3 linked regions of the Lonchura striata genome follow. The protein of the gene in region 2 interacts with the protein of the main gene of each other region in a biochemical or structural test. Links are inferred from orthologs where the notes say so. Each region holds a gene or a part of one and is shown on either strand. Other genes may lie near its edges.

Region 1 (7,257 bases), on a different chromosome or scaffold from region 2:
TCAGGATTCCCCCAGGGTTCCCGGGACCCCCCAGGATTTGGGGGTGCTCACCCGGCCCCTCGATGGCCACCTGCAGGTCGCTCAGGGGTGATTCCCCCCAGGACTTTGGGGATCCCCCCAGGGTGTCAGGGATCCCCCCAGGGTGTCAGGGACCCCCCCAGGGTTCCCGGGACCCCCCAGGATTTGGGGGTGCTCACCCGGCCCCTCGATGGCCACCTGCAGGTCGCTCAGGGATGATTCCCCCCAGGATTCCCGGATTCCCCCCAGGGTTTCGGGGATCCCCCAGGGTTCCCGGGACCCCCCAGGATTTGGGGACCCCCGTTTTCGGGGTGCTCACCCGGCCCCTCGATGGCCACCTGCAGGTCGCTCAGGTCCTGCTCGTTGGGGAACAGCCGGATGCCGTCGGGGGGGTCGGCGCTCAGCAGCGCCACCTCGCGGCACAGCAGCCGCAGCGCCTGCGGCGGCAGGTTCTCGGCCTCGGGGGTCTGGGGGAGATTTGGGGGTCAGGGGCACCCCAAAAACCCAAAATTGGGGTAACCCAGACCCTGATAACCCTGGGGGAGAAGGTTCTCGGCCTCGGGGGTCTGGGGGAGATTTGGGGGGTCAGGGGCACCCCAAAAACCCAAAACTGGGGTACCCCAGACCCAGATATCCTTGTGGTGGGCAGGTTCTCGGCCTCGGGGGTCTGGGGGAGATTTGGGGGTCAGGGGCACCCCAAAAACCCCAAACTGGGGTGACCCAGACCCTGATAACCCTGGGGGAGAAGGTTCTCGGCCTCGGGGGTCTGGGGGAGATTTGGGGGTCAGGGGCACCCCAAAAACCCAAAACTGGGGTACCCCAGACCCAGATATCCTTGTGGTGGGCAGGTTCTCGGCCTCGGGGGTCTGGGGGCAAAAACGGGGGTCAGGGGCACCCCAAAAACCCAAAATTGGGGTAACCCAGACCCAGATAACCCTGGGGTGGGCAGGTTCTCGGCCTCGGGGGTCTGGGGGAGATTTGGGGGGTCAGGGGCACCCCAAAAACCCAAAATTGGGGTACCCCAAACCAGGACATCCCTGGGGGAGAAGGTTCTCGGCCTCGGGGGTCTGGGGGCAAAAACGGGGGTCAGGGGCACCCCAAAAACCCAAAACTGGGGTGACCCAGACCCTGATAACGCTGGGGGAAAAGGTGCTCGGCCTCGGGGGTCTGGGGGAGATTTGGGGGGCCAGGGGCACCCCAAAAACTGGGGGAGCACCCCCAGAATGGAGCAGAGGAGAAGTGGAGAGAAGGCAGGGAGAGATTTGCAGAAAACGGCCCAGAAGTGGGAGATGGAACCCTCCCAGAGGGTTAAAACCAGCTGGGAAAGGGTTAAACCAGCTGGAAAGGGTTAAAAAGGGAAAGGGATCCCCAAAATCTGGGATTTACCCCCGAGGGGAGACCCCAAGATCACCCCCTTGCTACTAAATCTGAGCAGGAAGAAAAAAGTGACAATCGGGGAAAATCACCCAAAAATGAGAGTGAACCCTCCTGAAATGTTTAAATTCACCTGGGAATGGTTAAAAAAGGGAGAAGGATCCCCAAAACCTGGAGTTCACTTCCTGCTAGGAATTAAAAAGTGCCAAAATCGGGGGAAAATCACCCAAAAATGAGAGAGTGAATCCCCTGAAAAGCTAAATTCACCTGGGAATGGTTAAAAAGGGAAAAGGATCCCAAAATCTGGAGTTCGCTTCCTGCTAGGAATTAAAAAGTGCCAAAATCGGGGGAAACTCACCCAAAATGAAAGACTGAACCCCCTGAAATGTTAAATTCACCTTGAAATGGTTAAAAAGGGAAAAGGATCCCAAAATCGGGGATTTCCCTGGGAGGGGAAACCCAAAATCATCTCCTTCCTGCTAGGAATTAAAAGTGCCAAAACTGGGTGAAAATCACACAAAAATGAGAAAGTGAATCCCCTGAAATGCTAAATTCACCTGGGAATGGTTAAAAAGTGAAAAGGATCCGCAAAATCTGGAGTTCACTTCCTGCTAAGAATTAACAAGTGCCAAAAACGGGGGAAAATCACCCAAAACTGAGACTGAGCCCCCAGAAATGTTAAATTTACCTAGAAATGGTTAAAAAGGGAAAAGGATCCCCAAAATCGGGGACTCACCTGCCAAGCGCCGCCTCGGGGCTCCTGGGGAGGCAAAAATTTGGGGTGAATTTGGGGTGGGGAGACCTCAAAAAGCCCCAAATTCCCACTAATCCCCCCCAAAAATCCCTCAGCAGCTCCCCCAAACTCACAGCGCCCCAAATCCTCCCCAAAACTCCCAAAATTTCCCCAAAATTCAACCCAAACACACAGTACCCCAAAACTCCCAACGTTTATCTCAAAACCTCCCCAAATCCCCCAAGTTTCGCCTCCAAACTCCCTCAATTCGCCCCAAATCGACAGAAAATCCCCCAAATTCCTTCAAAGCTCCACAAACTTCACCCAAATCCCCTAAAAATCCCTCAGAACTCCCCAAATCCCCTCAGGACCCCCAAATCCCCCCAAAATCCCCTCAGGATCCCAAAATCTCCTCAAATCCCCCCAAAACCCACCCAGGACCCCCAAACCCCCTCAAATCCCACAAAAAATCCCCTCAGGATTCTAAAATCTTCTCAGGAGCCCCAAAATCCCCTCAAATCCCCCAAATCCTCTCAGGACCCCCCCCAAACTCCTTCAAATTCCCCCAAAATCCCCTCAAATTCCTCAAAGATCCTTTCAGGAACCCCAAATCCCCTCAGGACCCCCAAACTCCCTCAAAAAATCCCCTCAGCACCGCCAAAATGCTCTCAGGACGCCCAAAATTCCCTGAAATGCGCCCAGGATCTCCTCAGGACCCCCAGGATCCCCTCAGGACCCCCAAGCCGCCTCAAATGCCCCAAAAATCCCCTCGAGCGCCCCAGCCCCCCTCGGGACTCCCGGAATTTTCTGCAATCCCACAGAAATCCCTCAGGACGCCCCGCGCCGCCCCGGGCCTCCCTCACCATGGCGCCGGGCTGGGCCCCGGCCGCGCGGGGCTGGCCCCGAGGGGGCAGCGGCTCCCAGGCGGTTCCTCCCGGTCCGGAGCGGGGTCCCGGGGCGCGGGGCTGACCCCTCGGGCAGGGGGGAGGCCGGGGGGCGCCCCCTGTCCCCTCCCCCGGCAGCGCGCTCCCACCTCCGGCGCCGCCGCCCGCCCGCCGCGCTGAGGGGGCCGCTCCGCCGCGCCGCCGCCTTTATAACCTCGGCCGCGCGCGGCCCCCGCCCGCCGCGCGGAGCGACCAATCAGCGCCGCGCGGCGCGCGGGGCGGCCAATGGGGAGCGAGGGAGAAGGCGGGCAGTGCGCGCTGATTGGCGGAGCCGCGAGGGGGGCAGGAGAAGGGGGCGGGGCCCGGGCGCGTTGTTTGCGCCGTAACGGTCGGCGGAAAGGGGCGGGGCCGCCGGTTTGAACGGCGGGGATTGGCGGGCACGCCGGCCAATGGGAAGTGGGGATCCGGCCGCGGGGCGGGACTTCCGGGAGGCGGGGCTCGGCGTTATTGGCAGGCGGAGCGGCCAATCAGAGCGCGGCGTTTGAGGGGGACGAGAAAATCCCCCCAAAATCCCCCCCAACAAGCCCCGCCCCCTCCCCAAAGCCCCGCCCCCCCAATTTTCCCCAAAATCCCCCGAAATGGCCCCAAAAGCGAGGCGGGGGGGGCAGGAAACGTCACTTTATTCCCTCCCCCCCCCGGGGCGGGGGCGGGGCGGGGGGCGGGGCTCTAAGGCACGTGGGGGTCACGGGGAGGTCACGGGGTCACGGGGGGTCACGGGGGGGTCACGGGGTCATCCCCTCCCCCCCTATGGCTTCGGTGCGGGCGTGACGTCATCGGGGAGGGGCGGGGTTTGCGGATGTGTGACGTCACCGGCGGGCCCAGCCCGCCGTGACGTCATCGTGACTGGGGGGAAGGGGCGGGGCCTTGGCCGTGATCGGTGACGTCATCGTCGGGTGGCCCCGCCCCTCGTCGTGACGTCCTGCGGGGGGAGGGGGAATCCACAGTGCTGACGTCATCGGGGCGGCGTGACGTCATCGGGCGGAGCTGTGACATCATCGGCTGCTCGGGGGTGGGGGCGGGGCGGCCGTGACGTCATTGCGTGAGGGGCTGTGACGTCATTGGCCGCGGGGGTGTGACATCATAGTTGGGGTGTGACGTCATCGGCGCCGCCGGGGCGGGGCTGTGACGTCACCAGCTGCCATGTTGTGATGTGTGACATCATCGCGGGGGTGTGACGTCATCGGGGGGGGGAATGTCCCGAATTCCCGGGGATTTCCCCCAAATCTCCGGGCCGGGGCTCGCCGCCATTTTCTGCTTTTTCTGCCCCAATTCCCACCTCGAATTTCGCCTTTCCCCCAATTTTAACCTTTTCCCCAATTTCCACCATTTCCCCCCATTTTTAACCCTTTCCCCCCATTTTTAACCATTTCCCCCCAATTTTCACAATTCCCCCCAATTTTAACCTTTTCCCCCCAATTTATGTCCTTTCCCCCCATTTTTAACCCTTTCCCTCCATTTTCACCATTTCCCCCCAATTTTGTCCTTTTCCCCCTATTTTAATTTTTCCCCCCATTTTTAACCCTTTCCCCCCCAATTTTTGTCCTTTTCACCAATTTTCACCATTTCCCCCCATTTTTAACCCTTTCCCCGCAGCTTTCCCCTATTTTTAACCCTTTCCCCCCGGATTTTTTAACCCTTTCCCCCTGGATTTTTTAACCCTTTCCCCCCGGATTTTTTAACCCTTTTCCCCCGGATTTTTTAACCCTTTCCCCCCGGATTTTTTAACCCTTTTCCCCCGGATTTTTTAACCCTTTCCCCCCGGATTTTTTAACCCTTTCTCCCCCGGATTTTTAACCCTTTCCCCCCGGATTTTTAACCCTTTCCCCGCCGATTTCCCCCCGGATTTTTTAACCCTTTCCCCCCCGGATATTTTAATCCTTTCTCCCCCGGATTTTTAACCCTTTCCCCGCCGATTTCCCCCCCGGCTATTTTAACCCTTTCTCCCCAGGATTTTAACCCTTTCCCCGCCGATTTCCCCCCGGATTTTTTAACCCTTTCCCCCCGGATATTTTAACCCTTTCCCCCCGGATTTTTAACCCTTTCCCCGCCGATTTCCCCCCGGATTTTTTAACCCTTTCCCCCCGGATTTTTTAACCCTTTCCCCCCGGATTTTTAACCCTTTCCCCGCCGACTCCCCTCGCGCTCACACCGTCACCTCGGTGCGGCTCCCGGTGCGCAGCCGGTGCGGCGGCAGGGGCGGCGGCTGCTGGGGCGGGGGCGGCGGCGCGGGGGCGGGCGGGGGTCCCGGCAGCAGCTGCAGCTCGGCCGTGCTCTGCCGCCGCCCCCCGAACAGCGCCCGCCGCGCCCCGGGCCCCGCGGGCGGCGAGAAGGGGGTCCCGGGGGGCGGCGGGTGGTGGGGGAGGGGCGGCGGGGCGTGGGGGGGGGGCGGGGAGGCCGCCCCTCCCCCCGCCGGGCCGAGGCTGCTCTGGGAGGCGGCGTGGGACAGGGGGGGGCGGCGGGGCCGGTTCCGGGGCAGGGTCCCGCCCCCGCCCCCCAAAAACTCCTGGGACAGGACCCGGCGGCCCCGGGGCGGGGGGAGGGGCAGCGTGCCCCGGGGGGGCGGGGCAGCGCCCCAGGGGGGGCCCCAGGGACCCCCGAAATCCTCCAGCTCCCGGTCGGCTGCGGGGAGGGGAGGAAAGGGTTAATGGGGGGAATTCGGGGGGGATTTGGGGCAGATTGGGGGAGATTGGGGGAGTTTGGGGGATTTGGGGGAATTTGGGGGATTTGGGGGAGTTTGGGGAAATTTGGGTGTCTTGGGGGATTTGGGGGGGGTTTGGGGCAGATTGGGGGAGTTTGGGGGAATTTGGGGGATTTGGGGGAGTTTGGGGAAATTTGGGTCTTTTGGGGGATTTGGGGGGGGGTCTTGGGGCAGATTGGGGGAGTTTGGGGGAATTTGGGGGGGTGTTGGGGTATTTGGGGGGGTCTTGGGGCAGATTGGGGGAATTTGGGGGGGGGTTGGGGGATTTGGGAGGGCCTTGGGGCAGATTGGGGAAGTCTGGGGGAGATTGGGGGAGTTTGGGGTATTTGGGGGGGGCTTGGGGCAGATTGGGGGAATTTGGGGGAATTTGGGGGAGTTTGGGGAAATTTGGGTGGTTTGGGGGATTTGGGGGGGTTTTGGGGCAGGTTGGGGGAGTTTGGGGGGATTCAAGAAGTTTTGGGGGGTTTAGGGGATTTTGGGTAATTTTGGGGTGGTTTGGGGGATTTTAGGATGTTTTTCGGGGGGGTTTTGGGGGATTCTGGGGGGTTGGGGTTTTTGGGGTGGATTTTGGGGTTTTGGGGGTATTTCATCGAGGTTTTTGGGATTTTTTGGGGGGGTTTCAGGGCATTTTGGGTGTTTTGGGTCGGGGGGCTCACCCAGGCGGCGCAGCGAGGCCCAGCGGGCGCCGTCGGCCCGGGGGGGGCTCTCGTAGGGCGGGGGGGGGTGCGAGAGGTTGTGGAAGGAGCGGGAGCAGCTCAGGGGGGCGGGGGGGGGCACCCGCCAGTCTGGGGAGGGGAGGAAACGGGGGGTCGGGGGGGGAAAATTCCCCTCCAAAAACCCCCCGAGACCCCCCGAAAAACCACCCCAAAAACCCCCCGAGACCCCCCCAAAAACCCCTCCGAGAACCCCCAAAAAACCCCCGAGACTCCCCCCAAAACCTCCCCGAGACCCCCCTAAAAACCACCCCAAAAATCCCCCGAGACCCCCCTAAAAACCCCTCCGAGAACCCCCAAAAATCCCCCGAGACCCCCCTAAAAACCCCTCCGAGAACCCCCAAAAACCCCCCGAGAACCCCCAAAACCCCCCCGAGACCCCTCCCAAAAACTCCCCCAAAAACACCCCCGAGACCCCCCCAAAAAACCCCCCTAAAAACCCCTCCGAGAACCCCCAAAAACCCCCCGAGACCCCCCAAAAAACCCCTCCGAGAACCCCCCAAAAACCCCCCCAAAAACCCCCGAGAACCCCCAAAACCCCCCTGAGACCCCCCCCAAAAATCCCCCTAAAAACCCCTCCGAGAACCCCCAAAAACCCCCGAGACCCCCCCAAAAAACCCCTCCGGGACCCCCCAAAAAACCCCTCCTGGACCCCGCCAAATAAATAAACAAAAAAAAAACCAAAACCCAAAAATTCTTCCCCAAAAAATCCCAGAGAGACCCAAAATTTTTCCCCCCCGCAAAAAAAAAAAAAAAAAATCTCAAAACCCCCCCGGA
Region 2 (7,359 bases):
TTTTGTGTATTCCTGGGATTCATCATAATATAATAAACAATGTTAAAAAAAATTCATTTCAGAGTTGAAGAGCAGAGTTGTAAGAATTGGGAATATAGTCTATAATTCAGCTAAATTACTTAGAAAGGCACTTTATGTACCTAAATCAGGGACCAAAACATTGATAATTAGTTGCTTTACAATGAGAATAAGATTTTAAAAGATCCAGTAGCTACAGTGTTGAGGAAAGGCTGTGCTTTGTAAGCATTTAATTAGAGAAATTAAGAATTTTAATTACATATAAGAATAATTTGGGTAATTTTTTAATAAAAGCAAATATATGACCTTGCTGAAATGCTTCTAAAATACTATTTATGTTAATAAATGTTTATGATAAATAATAAAATTCATCCACCTTGCTTAACACAATTTTCCATAGAAAATCTTGTATGATCAAGATTTTTCAGTGTTTGAGTCCATTATTATTTTAGCATAATTACTATTGCAAATGCCATGGCAGTTGTATGAAGTCTAGTTAACAATTTCACCAAAGAGGACGTAAATAATTATACCAATTTTAGAAACTTTATTGATCCAAACAATTAGTTTGCTTTAAGGGGCAGTGAATTTGTTCCCCACTTTCATCTTTTATTTTTGGTCATTCCTCGTACACAGGGGGGAAAAAGCCGAGAGGATCATAGAACAGCCAAGTAAACCTACTGTGTGACTTGAATTCAAGACTTAAAGGTAAAAATCTCTTACCTGGTCCCTCTGATTTCTCCAGAGATCTGGGATGTGCTGTGCTTTGTGGTGGCAAAGAGCAGCAGGGACAGGCTGATGTGTGTATCCTGGGCTGCAGAGGCTCCAGAGGGTCACTCGCTGCAGCAGCTGCTGAGAGCTCAGCTGGAGCTCCTGGGTTCAGCTCAGCCCTCGCTGGGACACTGCTGCTGCAGGATACAGAAACGAGCCTGGAAAAAGCAGGGAGCAGAGACAAAATGAGTAAGAAGGAAACTCCCCTTTAAGAATCAAGTGATCCAGAGTAATGCAGTAATACAGACCTGACAATTAGCTGCAGCTTTCATCCACAGACCTTTAAAGTACTCAATGAAAGAAGGGGGAAGTACCTACAATTCAGTCTCCCCATACTGGGTAACAGAAGGCACTATGCTTTGTATAGCAATGCAAATTTGAAAAGTTCCAGAGGAAAGATAGAACATTTTGAAACACAAAACAATGATTTCTGTGACAGCCAAAATAATTAATCTAGTTTTCTCCTGAGTAACTCCAGCTGAGTTCTTCCATTCTGTCATGGTGTGACATTTATAACTGTTTGTTATTATTATTTTTATATATACTTGAATTTTAAATGCATATTTTTGTCACTACCTTGGCCAAAATCTAAAAATAGAAAAGTAGGTCAAGGTAAAAAAAAGTTGTGACATGGTACACAGGATATAACATCTGCAAAGGTGAATAATGAGAAGATAAAGTTCCCCTGTGCAACACCTTCCAGTAATTTAAATATGTGAGTAAAGGGAGTTTCTATAGGCAAGTTACATGGCTTCTCTTGGTAGTGTTTTTATTTTTGTGGTTTTAGGGATTTTTTTGCGGAGCGGAGGTCTGGTGTGGATTGGAGGGCTGGATTTTCTAAGAGTGGCTTTTTTGGGGTCCATCCTGATACTAGGCAGGATCCAAATATCAGGGATTTTAAAAATAGTAAGGCAAACTGTACTACCTCACAAATTTATAGGAAGTGTCCATATTTCAAAATAGATGGGGGCTGTGCCCCTGCACAACAACTGAACAACATCATTTGGTTTCCAGGTTTCAATTCAGAATGCAGGTCCATTCTCAAACAGCTAACTACAGTTAAAATAGGGAAAATTTTATCTTCATAGGTTTTCTAAATTAAAGAATGGATATGAGATAGACATCTAACCTGAAAATCAGCACTGCTCAGAGGTAATAGTAATAGCTGAGTTTTACTCCAGAGTAAAATAATTAGCAAACAAAAACACAGTATAGAATTTCATAAAGCAGTCAGGAGTCTTTGTGTCACTGGTTTTTAATGTCTGCTGCAGAAGGAAAGATGGATGAGCTAGGGTGTTGTGTGAAGAATGGAGAAGTTCCAAGGGTTTAGACTTGATTAAAGCAGCTCAGCAAAGTCAGGATCTCTTTAGTCTCTTGTGACACAGGGTTTTCCATTGAAGCAGAGAGGTTCCTGTGCAGAAGTTAAGGGGATTTTTTTCATAACTTCTGTAAGGATTTCCCTTCTGTGTATTATGTGTCATTAACGTTCTTTTGTTTCACTTGAAGAGTAAAGCACAATGCACTTAAGAATTGGAATTATTGCTACTTCTCAGTCTTTGAGCTCATTCCTGGACTTTTATGAAGTTCATGCCAAATCAAATAGATCTATAGGAATATGGGGATCCCTTTGCTATGCTGTGCAGCAATATATTTGTGTGATTTCTTCCCATCCAGTGAGATCCTCCCAGTGCAAAAGCAGGCAGTTTATTCCACTAATACATTGTTTCCCTAACTCCTATTGTGATTTCTGCGTATTTCTGCATGCCTGCTATATGCTTCTGTTTCATAGAAACTGTACCTGTCAGCATTGAAGTCTGTTTTCCATTTTGGCAATTGCACCTGGCAGATTCAGTAAAGCCTTAGGAGCTGCTACAGGTGGGTTTGTCACAAGCGGTGACAAACTGTTCCCTGTGCTGTCTTCCTCTTGCACCCCCACTGTAGCCAAGTCTCAGCCCTACTGGCCATTAGTAGACCCATGTAGCATATTCCTGTTGGGAAAGAGGCACAGAGAGATGCAGATAACCAGAGTTTAAGAAATAGTTTTGGTAGAGACTTAAGCTTAAATTGTTTTCTTTGGCAGATAAATTGACACGGTCCTCAAGTGTTTTGATATATGTTAATCTATTGACAGAACAAACAGTAAGTGGAATAATACAGTCCAGTACATGCATCAGTTGGCCAAGATAAACACATGCTTACATAACTGTTCTTTGCATTATCATAAAACTGACATTTTTGTCAAGGCTTTGTTTTTAATAAAAATAATTTTCACAGAATCATAGAATCACTAGGTTGGAAGAGACCTTCAAGATCATTGAGTCCAACCCATGCCCTAACACCTAAACTAAACCATGGCACTGAGAGCCACATCCAGTCTTTTTTAAACACATCCAGGAATGGTGGCTCCACCACCTTGTGGCTGCAGGGGATAGGTGAGTTACAGACTGCCAGAACTACTTCTCAAAAACGGCTTGGAATTTTTCTTACACAGCTCTTTAGCTGATAAAATAGCAAGAAAATAATTTTTAGGTAGGAAGCTATCACTTATTTCTCTAAGGCAGTATGGAGAGAGTCAAAGTGCCTGTGTCATATTTGCTCTACTTTCACAGCTAATGTAAATGGAGTTTATATTTGACTTTGCATCGTGTACAGCACATGTATGATGGTTTGACAGCACTCAAACACAATTATAATATCTGACATAATTTGCCCTTAGAATCTTAGAACTGAAGAATTGCATCATTTAGGGATACAAGGCAAATTGTATAAATCTAAAAGCCCCAAAACTCCAACAGAATTTTTTTCCCTTTTTTTAAAATCTCTGTTTAGAGGTAGTTGACATTTTACACAGCAGAAATGAAATGTACTTAATTTTTAAAAAAATATTTTAAACTTTCTGGATTACATCTAGTCCTAGTAATTGAAATCAGAAATGCCCTGATGGTTTTTAAAATGGACAGAAAAGAATGATGAGATAAAGGAGTGGAGCTGGCAAAGGGAATTGAACAGTGTGGATCGAGAGAAGTGTGATTCAGCCAGGCTAAAAGGCTTTATTAACATGCTGCTTAACAGTGTTCAAGGTGCTTCTGAATTGATAGTTGAGTAATGTGCAAACATGCAATCTTTAATACAATTTTTATTTTTTACTTTCTTACGAAGGTGGCCAAGGTGCACGCCACCGCAGAGGTGTTTCACTTGTTCTGTCAGCAGTCCTAGGAAACGTGTTGCGTTGGACGACTGGGTCTTCTCCCCCACACTCCCGGCAGCCCGGACCAAGGGTGAGGTCGGGATTGCTGCACTTGCGCTCTGCGAAGGAGAACATCCTTCGTCAGCAATGCCAGCCTGGCACTGCGGGTGTCCCGGTGGAACGCCAGCGGTGCCCGAGGGCTCCGAGGGCTCCGAGGGCTCCGAGGGCTCCGAGGGCTCTGAGGGCTCTGAGGGCTCTGAGGGCTCCGAGGGCTCCTCGCCCCGCGGGCCCGGCCCGCGCCGCCGCCGCCGTGCCGCTCCCGCCGCCGCCGGAGGGTGGCGCTGCCGCCCGCGCGGCCGCCGGTCCCCGCCCCTCCGCCATGGCCGATGTGGAGGACGGGGACGAGCCCGGCGCCCCCCACTCGCTGCCGGGCTCCGCGGGCTCCAAGGCGGGCGCCCCCGACAAGATGTTCTCGCTGAAGAAGTGGAATGCGGTGGCCATGTGGAGCTGGGACGTGGAGTGCGACACCTGCGCCATTTGCCGGGTGCAGGTCATGGGTAAGCGGCGGCCGGGCCGCCATGGCCGCGGGCGGGGGGCCGGGGCCGGGCCTGGGGCCGTGCCTGCCGCCCCGGGCACGGCGGGCGCCGGGCACAGACGCGGTTTCCGGCAGAAGGGGGGGCTGATCCCTCCCGCCTCCGCTTCCTCCTCCGCGCCTTCCCGGAGGAGGAGGAGGAGGGCCCCGCGGGGGCCGGGCCGCTGCGCTGCGGGGCCACAGGCGGCCCTGTCGGGCAGCGAGAGCCCCCCGGCCCGGCCCTGCCCGGCCCTGCCCGGCCCGGCCCTGCCCTGCCCGGCCCGGCCCTGCCCTGCCCTGCCCGGCCGAGCCCTGCCCTGCCCGGCCCGGCTCTGCCCGGCCCTGCCCTGCCCGGCCCTGCCCTGCCCTGCCCTGCCCGGCTCTGCCCTGCCCTGCCCTGCCCGGCCCTGCCCTGCCCGGCCCGGCTCTGCCCTGCCCGGCCCTGCCCGGCCCGGCTCTGCCCGGCCCGGCCCTGCCCGGCCGAGCCCTGCCCTGCCCGGCCCGGCCCTGCCCGGCCGGGCCGCGCCGTGACCCGTGCGGTGCCGGCTTCGTCATGAGGGCAAATCCGCAAGCACGGACTTAGAGCCCAGCTGAAGCCAGTGCTGCATGCGTGGGGCTGCTCTTTATGGGGTGGGTTTTGTTAAGGGTTTTTTTTTTTCTACGAAGCAGTTACAGATGTACGTAAAAATTGATTTTTCAAATCTGTTAAACCAGGGTGTCAGACTCTACTTCGCAAGCGTGATTGCTGGTGCAGTTTAACACACACAAATGTACTGAGAAATTTAGTGAGTAAGGGGTTAATTTACTTGGTTTTGAAACCCAGAGACTGTTTGAAAGCACCTTCATTGTTAACTCATATTACTGTTTTCTGACATCTTTGTCAAATATGAGATTTATCTTAGTTCTTCAAAAGCGGTTTAAATTCTTCCTTTACTGTGTGTGCAGGTCCAGCTTTTACAATTATTTTGGACTGAGTCATCCTAGGTGTAGCTGTCCTCGCAGTTGGGTCTGCAGCACGTCGGCAGGACAAATGACCCAAAGTTCCCGCCAGAGCACCTAGTTTTTGTAGGGCCAGGAACCCTGATACTGAAAATGAAATCAGCATTTGGTTTAACATAAATGAGGCAAAATATACCATTCTGTCATTTCTCCTAAATAATTTTGCTGGGAACTTTCTCTGGAACAGAGGAGGCAGAAGGGTGTACAAGTAAACAGAGACCACTCTGGAAATATGAAATTGTCTTCATTTGCCATTTAAACCATAATTTTAAAAATGCATTTGTCCCCATTGTAAGCTAGGCTGTTACAGAACACTATAAAAAAAGTCTTAAATTAAAATCTTACCCAGAGCTATTATAAAAGTTTAAAAAAAAAAAGTCTTAATTTTTTAATTGCTAGACCAAGGGAGTACTTTTAATCTGAAACTAGAAAAAAAAATCTGAAAAAAACTAGTAACCGTTTTTTGGGAACAAACCACATTGTTAGAATGTGAAATTTGATGATTACTGACTTCAGTTTAGCAGTTCTGTGTTGACCCTGCCAGAGCGGGTCTGGCTCCTGTAGAGCCACTGCGTCTGCAGTAACCTTAGGTGGGGGCAGTGCCAGACTGAGACTGGCACTTGTTGAAGGTTAGTTTGACTTTTGCAGGGAAGGAGGTGTTAGCTGGCTCCATTTTCTGCTGGTTTAACTCGTTCACCCAAGGTAGTTTTAGATGCACAAGAGAAAGGGACAAAAATGCAGGTGTTAGCTGGGAAGCACAGGATTGCAGCTGGACTGGCTTTGCTGTCCTTAGCCTTTCAGACTGACCCCCATCTGTGGGGTTATGATGTGGGAGTGGGGACAGGTTACTTTGGTGTGGTGGCAGTGATTTCTGTCCTTGGCTCTCTGTGCTGCTTCTGTCTGAAGCTGCAACTCTAGGGCTCAATAGGGCAGCTGATTTATTGTGAGTTTCTGCTGTGACCCTGGATCAGGGGGCTCCCACACACCATGATACGAGTTGAAGCACTTTGGCTGAATCCTCCCAGCACCTTAGCCCCTAACTGGTGTTGAAATACGAATTTTAGGGACAGACAACACAAAAGTTTTGCTTTTGTCTCAATGAAGAAAGGGCAGCTGTTTTAGAGTTCTCTCTTCTTTGTTCTCTATTACCTGAGAAAAGGAGGAATGTCTAGGCAGTTCAACCTAATATACAAATACTGGCCTTATCTGGCAGAGACTGCAAAAATACTCAAATCTAAATTCCTGTAGCACATTAGAGTTTTGTCTTTTGGGAGAATATGGTCCAGCCAGTGACATGTAAGCCAGATTCAACCGGCAGGACACTTGTTTAAGTGTCCACATTTCTTTGGAAGAGATAAAGATGTGTTTGCTCACATAACAGTTGAACATTTTCTGTTGTGCATGATCCGTGCACGTGTGTCTGTGGCAGCCCAAGTTGGGGCAAAGGAGAAGCAAAGGTACTTTTCCACTGCATTGTGTGGCACAGTGGGAAGCCTGGAAGTTGTCACTCTTGTATCTTATTGAGTCCTGGAGCTGCCATCCAATCTTAAAGCCACAGACTGGAGTGAATAAAGATGATAAATATTTTTAATTAGATATTGTTCTGTATTTATTAACATATATTATCAAATGTACCACTATATTTGTATGTGTGTGACTCCTGTGAAAATTAGATGCAGGTACTTGTCAAGGGAGGCTACTATAAAGAGTAATAGGTGGTGGGAGTTGTGGTGAGAGATGCACAGCCTAGAAAAATCAAAATTGTGAATGACTTCCTTAAAAGGAAATGCTGACATCTGAAAAACAAAGTCCT
Region 3 (6,279 bases), on a different chromosome or scaffold from region 2:
GCAGCAGGTGCGTGGGGACAGCTCGGTGCCACCGAGGCTATCGCGCCTGTCTGCAGGAGCCGAGCTGACACTGCGCAGGCTGTCACCCTCTCCTGCCTTCTCCTCTTCAGTTTTTCCAGACAGCAGCAATCAACGTGCGTGATAACGTTGGGGAGGAGGTGGACCCAGAGCAGCTCATCCAGGAGACCTGTAGGAGCTGCCTGGAGCAGGTGGGTGCTGGGGAGGTGTCTCTTGAGTGTGCAGCCAAGCAAAGCAACCTGGCTAGAATGTGTCCCTCTTTACAGCTTTGCTGTCACTGTGAGGGGACATCCGCAGCCATTGTGTGACTCTCTCTGGGAATAAGGGAGCAGTCAGGGCTGGGCAGCTCATGCTGCTTCTTCTCACTGCTGCTGTAAGGAACATGGCACACTGCTGGAGTCCCACAGAAACTGGCCCCCAGCACCCGTCAGAAGGTCCTAGCAGGGTGGGCCAGGATTTTTCCTTTCATGTCTTGCTTATCTGCCAGTTTGCCAGAATTTATCATGCTCAAATTGTGCTTTTGCATCTGGCTGTCTGTGGAAGCGTGGCCTGGTAGCACTCCAAAAGCAAAGCTGTTGCAGGGTTTTTAGGCAGATATGTAGAGGTGGGGGTTGTTTATGGGGCCTTCTCTGAGCCCAGAATCCAGGGAACCTTCTTTGTCTCCCTTTAGGCCAAACTGCTGTTCTCAGATGGCAAAAAGGTGGTTCCCAGGTTGCCCCATGAGCAGGCAGTGCCAAAGGTAATTGTGGTGATTGTACACAGAGGTTTAAATGACTTCTGAAAGCTGGGAGAAGAGTTGGGATTACTTTGTTCTCTGACTCTTCTTGGCTGCCAGTGCAGTAGTGCAGAGACAGAGTGGGGGATGTTTGGCTTGAAGGGAATGCAGGGCAAAGAGAATCCCAGGTGTGGGTGCTGCTTGCTGCAGTTCAGTGCTACTCACAGGGGTGGTCTGGGGTCAGTGTTCACCTGGCCAGGTAGGGAGAGGAGCCCTGCTCATCCCACTGCCCTTCCCTTCCAGCGTGCCCGACAGATGGATGAAGAGCTGAGCCGCCGAGGAAGCCCCATTCCAAAAAAGGTAGGATGGTTTTCTTCACAAGAGAGTTTATGTTTTGGGAAGCCTGGCCCTCATTCCTGGCCATTCCCACAGTGTGAGTGCAGGGAGGTGCACGGGCAGCTTTTTTGAGGCGTTGGAGGTGCTCACTCTGGCGCAGGCAGTGTTTTTGCCTGTGACAAAAGAAGCAGCTTCCCTGGGAGAGGGAGGGTTGCTGAGAGGGTTCCCTCAGGCAGCACAGCTGGGTCACAGAAGGGTTTCTTCCATGCAGAGGAAGGGGCGGCCTCCAGGACAGAGCCTGTCAAATGACCGTGGAGTCTCAGGCATGGCAACGTGAGTACAAACCCTGAGCTAGAGCCCCTGTTTCGGGAGGGCAGGGACAATGAGGCTGCGTGTGGGGAGCACAGAAACCCCACAGACTCCTCTCTTACAGAGAAGTAATGGGAGCTCTTCTGGGTATGGGCAGAAGCAGGGTTAGGTTGAGGTGTTCCCCTCAGGAGGCAAAGACCTTAAAGGGAGGGATTTTTAAACAGGCCCAAAGGGGTGAAAAGGTCCAGATGGACCATCCAGAATGAGTGGTGAGACACAGGGGATGGTGGGATCTGGGCAACCAGGAGAGGAGAATGTGCAGCAAAGTTGAAGGTCCAAAGCCGGGCGCTGTGGGGAAATGGAGGGTGTGAAAAAATGGTGGATTTGGAAGGGTTTGAGCTCAGTCCCTGCTGCTGGTGGTGACTAAGCTGATCCCACTGGGACTCATTCTTACTGTGTTTTCCTTCCCCTCAGGTGGAAGCTCAAAGTCTCTGAGCCTGTGAAAAGGGATGGACCAAAGGTATTAGCTGTCCGACACTGCTGGGCTCCCTCTCTCCTCCCCTTTGCTCCCACCAGCAGGAGCGCAGGACAGCGCGGGCTGTGCCCTGCCCTGCTGGGGCCTTGGGCAGGGCGGGAGCAAGAAGAGGAAGCGAAGTGCCCGGAGGCCTTTGCTGGTCTCCCCAGGCACCCAGCCTGTAGCCCTGCAGTGTGGTGCCGCTGAGGGAGGCCTGAGGAGACCGGGAGTAGCCAGGAGAATCCCACAAGTGTTTCCCACGAGGGAAACTGCTTAGATCAGCCCAGACGGAATGTAACATCCCTCCCCTGAGGAAGGCTGGAGGTCATTGGCCAGCTCCCTCCCTCCCAGTCTGGAGGCAGCTCCAAGGTTCCCTTGTCAAAGAGCCGAGGCTTGTGGAGCATGGCCAGCAGCAACTTCATTTCTAATGTTGCCCCTTTTCCAATTGCTCTGTAGTGGGATCCATCCCGACTGACTGAAACCACAACCTTTGTGCTGGGATCTCGAGCAAACAAGTAAGGAACGGCCCTGTCGATGGAGGGTGGTGTCCCCAGGCAGGAGCCCGTGACACTCCTCCCGTCACTTCGCTTCTCTGCCTCAAAAGCAGTAGGAAGGGCTTGGGGAGGAGAGGGGTGTCCCTGTGCTACCACAGCTGCCCTCCCCACAGCCCTAACACCCCTCATGTTCCTATTGCAGAGCTCTCGGGATGGGAGGAACAAGAGGGCGACTCTACATCAAGCATCCCCACCTCTTTAAGGTCAGGTGCCACAGCCAGATGGTTTCCCATGGGAATTAGGAATGTATGTTTCAGCTCCCTTGCTTACTGCCTCCCCCATGTCCTTGTATGTTGTCTTAGATCGTGTTCCCAAGGTTTGGATAGCACATAACACTAGCCAGTGGTGTCGCAGCCTGCCAAGGCAGCAGGGGTGGCAGAGCCAGGGCTGAGGCTGGAGCAGGGCAGGCGGAGCGGGGGCAGAGCAGAGCGGGGCTTTCAGGGGAGGGTCTGTCGCCCGTTCTCAGCTCGGTCCTTGCTGCTTTATTGCAGTACGCAGCCGACCCGCAGGATAAGCACTGGCTGACAGAGCAGCAGCACATGAGGGCCATTGGGGGCAAGATGGTGAGTACGGCCGGGCGCAGGGCCCGCCGCGGGGCCAGGCGGCGGTGGCAGGATAGGCAGGGCACGGGGACACGGCGCTGCCAAGGTCTGTCCCCTCCCACAGGACTGGGGCATGGGCCAGGAGGCACGGCTGGCTCCCACGGGGACAGTGGTGGCTGAGGGTGTGGGCCTGCCCTGGCTGCCCCTCGCAGGCACCCTGAGGTGTCCCCTGCCTTGTGCCACAGGCCTACCTCCTCATTGAAGAGGACATTCGGGATTTGGCCGCCAGTGAGGATTACAGGTGAGGACCGAAGCAGAAATTCTGAAAGTGCTGTTGGGCCTGAGGCTGCTTCTTGGGGGGCCCCCACCATGTCCTGCCTCAGTGCTACATTGCAGAGACGTCCCGTGCTGGAGGGGCTCTCTGCATGGTGGCTGGGGGCTTGGTTATGGTTGGGGATTGGTGCCCATGGGGCAACTGAGGTTTGGACTTGGTGTTGGTTGGGGATCCATGGTAGGTTTGGGCTCAGTGCTGATTGAGATTCATGGTGGGTTTGGTGGGTCTGGGCCTGGTACTGATGTGTGCCAGGGGACATGGTGGGTCGGCAGTGGGTGCTGTGTCCCTCCATGTCACCCTGTTCCTCCGCAGGGACTCTGTTGATCTGCGGCTGGAAGAGCTGAAGCCCTTCATCCCACCAGCCTGGATGACTGAGAAGATGCAGAAGCACATGGAGACGCTTCGCCGCGGGGGGGACGTGCCGGCCCCCGAGGAGCCCCCCGAACCCTGATGCCCCCCAATAAAGCCGCTTCGCTCGCAGCTCGCCGCTTCCTCGGGCACCGGGCACCGGGCTCGGGCCGCGTCCGGGCCGGCGGGACCCGCGGGGCAGCGGCCAATCAGAGCGCGGAGCGTCACTGCCGGCGCCCGCCGGCCGTTACCGTGGGAGCGGCATCCTCGGCGGGCCGTGATTGGCCGGCTCGAACGGGGCTGCGCGCTGATTGGTGGGGGGGACGCACGTGGAAATATTCAAACGGGGCGCGGGAGCAGGCGGGGCCGCGCGGGACGAGCGGACTGGAGAGTGTCCGGGCCCGGGGCTGCGACCGGGCCGCTCTGCACCGGGGAGGGGTTGGGACTGAGCCGCTCCTGCACCGGAGAGGAGTTGGGATCGAGCCGGTCTGCACTGGAGAGTGGTTGGGCCCAGCCGCTCTGCACCGGAGAGGAGTTGGGACCGAGCCGCTCTGCACCGGAGAGGGGGTGGCACCCAGCCGCTCTGCACCGAGGGGGTTTGACACTCAGCCGCTCCTGAATCGGAGACCGTCTGGAACGGGATTGGGATCGGGCCGCCGCCTCACGGGAGAGCCCCAAGCACCGCCGCTCGGCACCGGGGAGCCGCAGAGGGGCCCGAGTCCTGCCCCGAGCGGGACTGCGGGAGGGAGGGAGAGAGCAGCGGAGCCCGGTGCGGCGCCGCCCGGGAGCCGGAGCCGGAGCCGGTCCCGCCCGTGACCCGCCGGCAGCGGCGGCCGGTGCCAGTGTGCTGGTCCGTGCCCCGGGAGCCGCTATGGCCTCACAGAACGCCGACCCCGCCGCCGTGTCCAGCGCAGCCGCCCGCAAAGCGGCTGAGACCGGGGCCACGGCGGCCCGCGGCGCGGTGGGGAAGAGGTGAGCGGAACCGGGGCCGGGGCTGAGGGCGGGGGCGGCCCCGGTGAGCCGGCCGGTAACGTGCGCTTTCTCCGCAGGCTGCAGCAAGAGCTGATGGCATTGATGGTGAGTGGGGCCCCGGGGCCGAGCCGGGGATTGGGGATCCCAAAGGCACCCGGGACTGAACTGGGTTGGGGGGGTGTCTCGGGGCGTCCCGGGCCGCCCTGACGCGCTGCCCCCGCAGATGTCCGGTGACAAAGGCATTTCTGCCTTCCCCGAGTCCGACAACCTCTTCAAGTGGATCGGGACCATTGACGGCGCCGCCGGGACGGTGAGAGGCGAAATCCCGGTCTGAGGTGGCCCTGACCCTGCCCCACCTTCCTCCCTTCAGCTGAGGGTGTTCCTAGCCCTCCATTGCCCTTGTACCTCTTTTTCTTCGAGGCTTCCCCACACCTCTGGGGCTACAGCCCCCCCTGACTCCTGTCCCACTTGACTCTCACCCCAGGCCTACGAGGAGCTGCGGTACAAGCTGTCACTGGAGTTCCCCAGTGGGTACCCCTACACAGCACCCACCGTGCGGTTCCTGACCCCCTGCTACCACCCCAACGTCGACACCCAGGGCAACATCTGCCTCGACATCCTCAAGGAAAAGTGGTCAGCGCTCTATGATGTCCGCACCATCCTGCTCTCCATACAGAGCCTGCTGGCAGGTGGGTCTCGCGGACAAACTGCTGTGGAGTGCTGGGGGAAGGGGTGGTGGTGGTGGTGGGGCTGTCCAACCCAGATCAGGGCTCAAGGGTGTCCAGGTCACCAGCTAACGCAGCCACTGTTTCCAGAGCCAAACATCGAGAGCCCTCTGAACACACATGCTGCTGAGCTCTGGAACAACCAAGTTGGTGAGTACCTGAAGCAGAACCCTCCTGCCCTCTCCCCAGTGGGATGGGCAGCAGCACAGCTCCCAGTGCCTGTCTGGCCCCACAGCTCCCTGGCCACTGCCTCAGGACCCTTGGTGTCATGTTCTCTCTTTCCTCAGCCTACAAGAAGTATGTGCGGGAGACGTACAACAAGCAGACCAAGAGCCAGGAGACCTGACCATCACCACCACCCCTCAACACATCCCCTCCCTCCCGGCCATCCCCCGCGTTCTGTATCATAGGCTGTTTTTAAATTAATGTCGCAGTCCGAGCCATGGTTAATGTATAAATAAATGCAGGTTTATAACTTCTGCAGGGGATTCTGTGGCAGCTCTAGCACACCCTGAGTGCCCAAGAGGCCCCTCTGCAAGTGTGGGCGTGAAGGGTGGAAGGGATACTGACCCCTGTGGGGTAATGAAAGCTTTATCAATATTTGGGGGCCTGGAGCAATTCTATCTACAGGGTGGGAGCAGCCCACACCATAACCTGCAAAGGCAGGGGCTGAGGACTGTAGGGGTACCTCTGTCTCCTGCTCTGTGACAGGGGTGTCACCTCTGCTGCTATCTCCTGCCCCCCTAGCTCACAGCACCCCACAGCAGTGCCCAGCGCAGGGGCCGCCCCAGGCCGCTCTCTGTGTGGTGCCACTTGTCTCTGCTGGCTGTGTGGTCTCTGTGGCTTCCACTGTCCATGGTGGAATGTTGGCTCCGCTCTCCATCTCTGCCAGCGTGGCCCTCACCTGCTCGA

What was found.
Region 1: the proteins of RNF7 (region 2) and UBE2S form a complex in vitro, tested with the Homo sapiens proteins (3 studies listed by BioGRID). The link is inferred for Lonchura striata from reciprocal best matches to the Homo sapiens genes RNF7 and UBE2S.
Region 3: the proteins of RNF7 (region 2) and UBE2C form a complex in vitro, tested with the Homo sapiens proteins (4 studies listed by BioGRID). The link is inferred for Lonchura striata from reciprocal best matches to the Homo sapiens genes RNF7 and UBE2C.

What each region holds. Positions count from the first base shown.
Region 1 is NC_134640.1:2,863,039-2,870,295, forward strand, and holds the start of UBE2S (ubiquitin-conjugating enzyme E2 S), read right to left. Parts: upstream 3,067-7,257; 5' UTR 2,992-3,066; coding exon 2,989-2,991; intron 2,153-2,988; coding exon 2,129-2,152; intron 486-2,128; coding exon 338-485; intron 1-337. UniProt on the Homo sapiens protein: Accepts ubiquitin from the E1 complex and catalyzes its covalent attachment to other proteins. Catalyzes 'Lys-11'-linked polyubiquitination.
Region 2 is NC_134612.1:12,595,044-12,602,402, forward strand, and holds the start of RNF7 (RING-box protein 2), read left to right. Parts: upstream 1-4,321; 5' UTR 4,322-4,355; coding exon 4,356-4,533; intron 4,534-7,359. UniProt on the Homo sapiens protein: Catalytic component of multiple cullin-5-RING E3 ubiquitin-protein ligase complexes (ECS complexes), which mediate the ubiquitination and subsequent proteasomal degradation of target proteins.
Region 3 is NC_134619.1:8,178,812-8,185,090, forward strand, and holds UBE2C (ubiquitin-conjugating enzyme E2 C), read left to right. Parts: upstream 1-4,541; coding exon 4,542-4,642; intron 4,643-4,719; coding exon 4,720-4,747; intron 4,748-4,865; coding exon 4,866-4,952; intron 4,953-5,126; coding exon 5,127-5,331; intron 5,332-5,457; coding exon 5,458-5,517; intron 5,518-5,654; coding exon 5,655-5,713; downstream 5,714-6,279. Other genes in the region: DNTTIP1 (deoxynucleotidyltransferase terminal-interacting protein 1), read left to right, coding at 111-209, 689-757, 1,037-1,093, 1,341-1,402, 1,853-1,898, 2,349-2,407, 2,589-2,649, 2,938-3,009 and 2 more; regulator of G-protein signaling 9-binding protein-like, read right to left, coding at 6,116-6,279. UniProt on the Homo sapiens protein: Accepts ubiquitin from the E1 complex and catalyzes its covalent attachment to other proteins. In vitro catalyzes 'Lys-11'- and 'Lys-48'-linked polyubiquitination.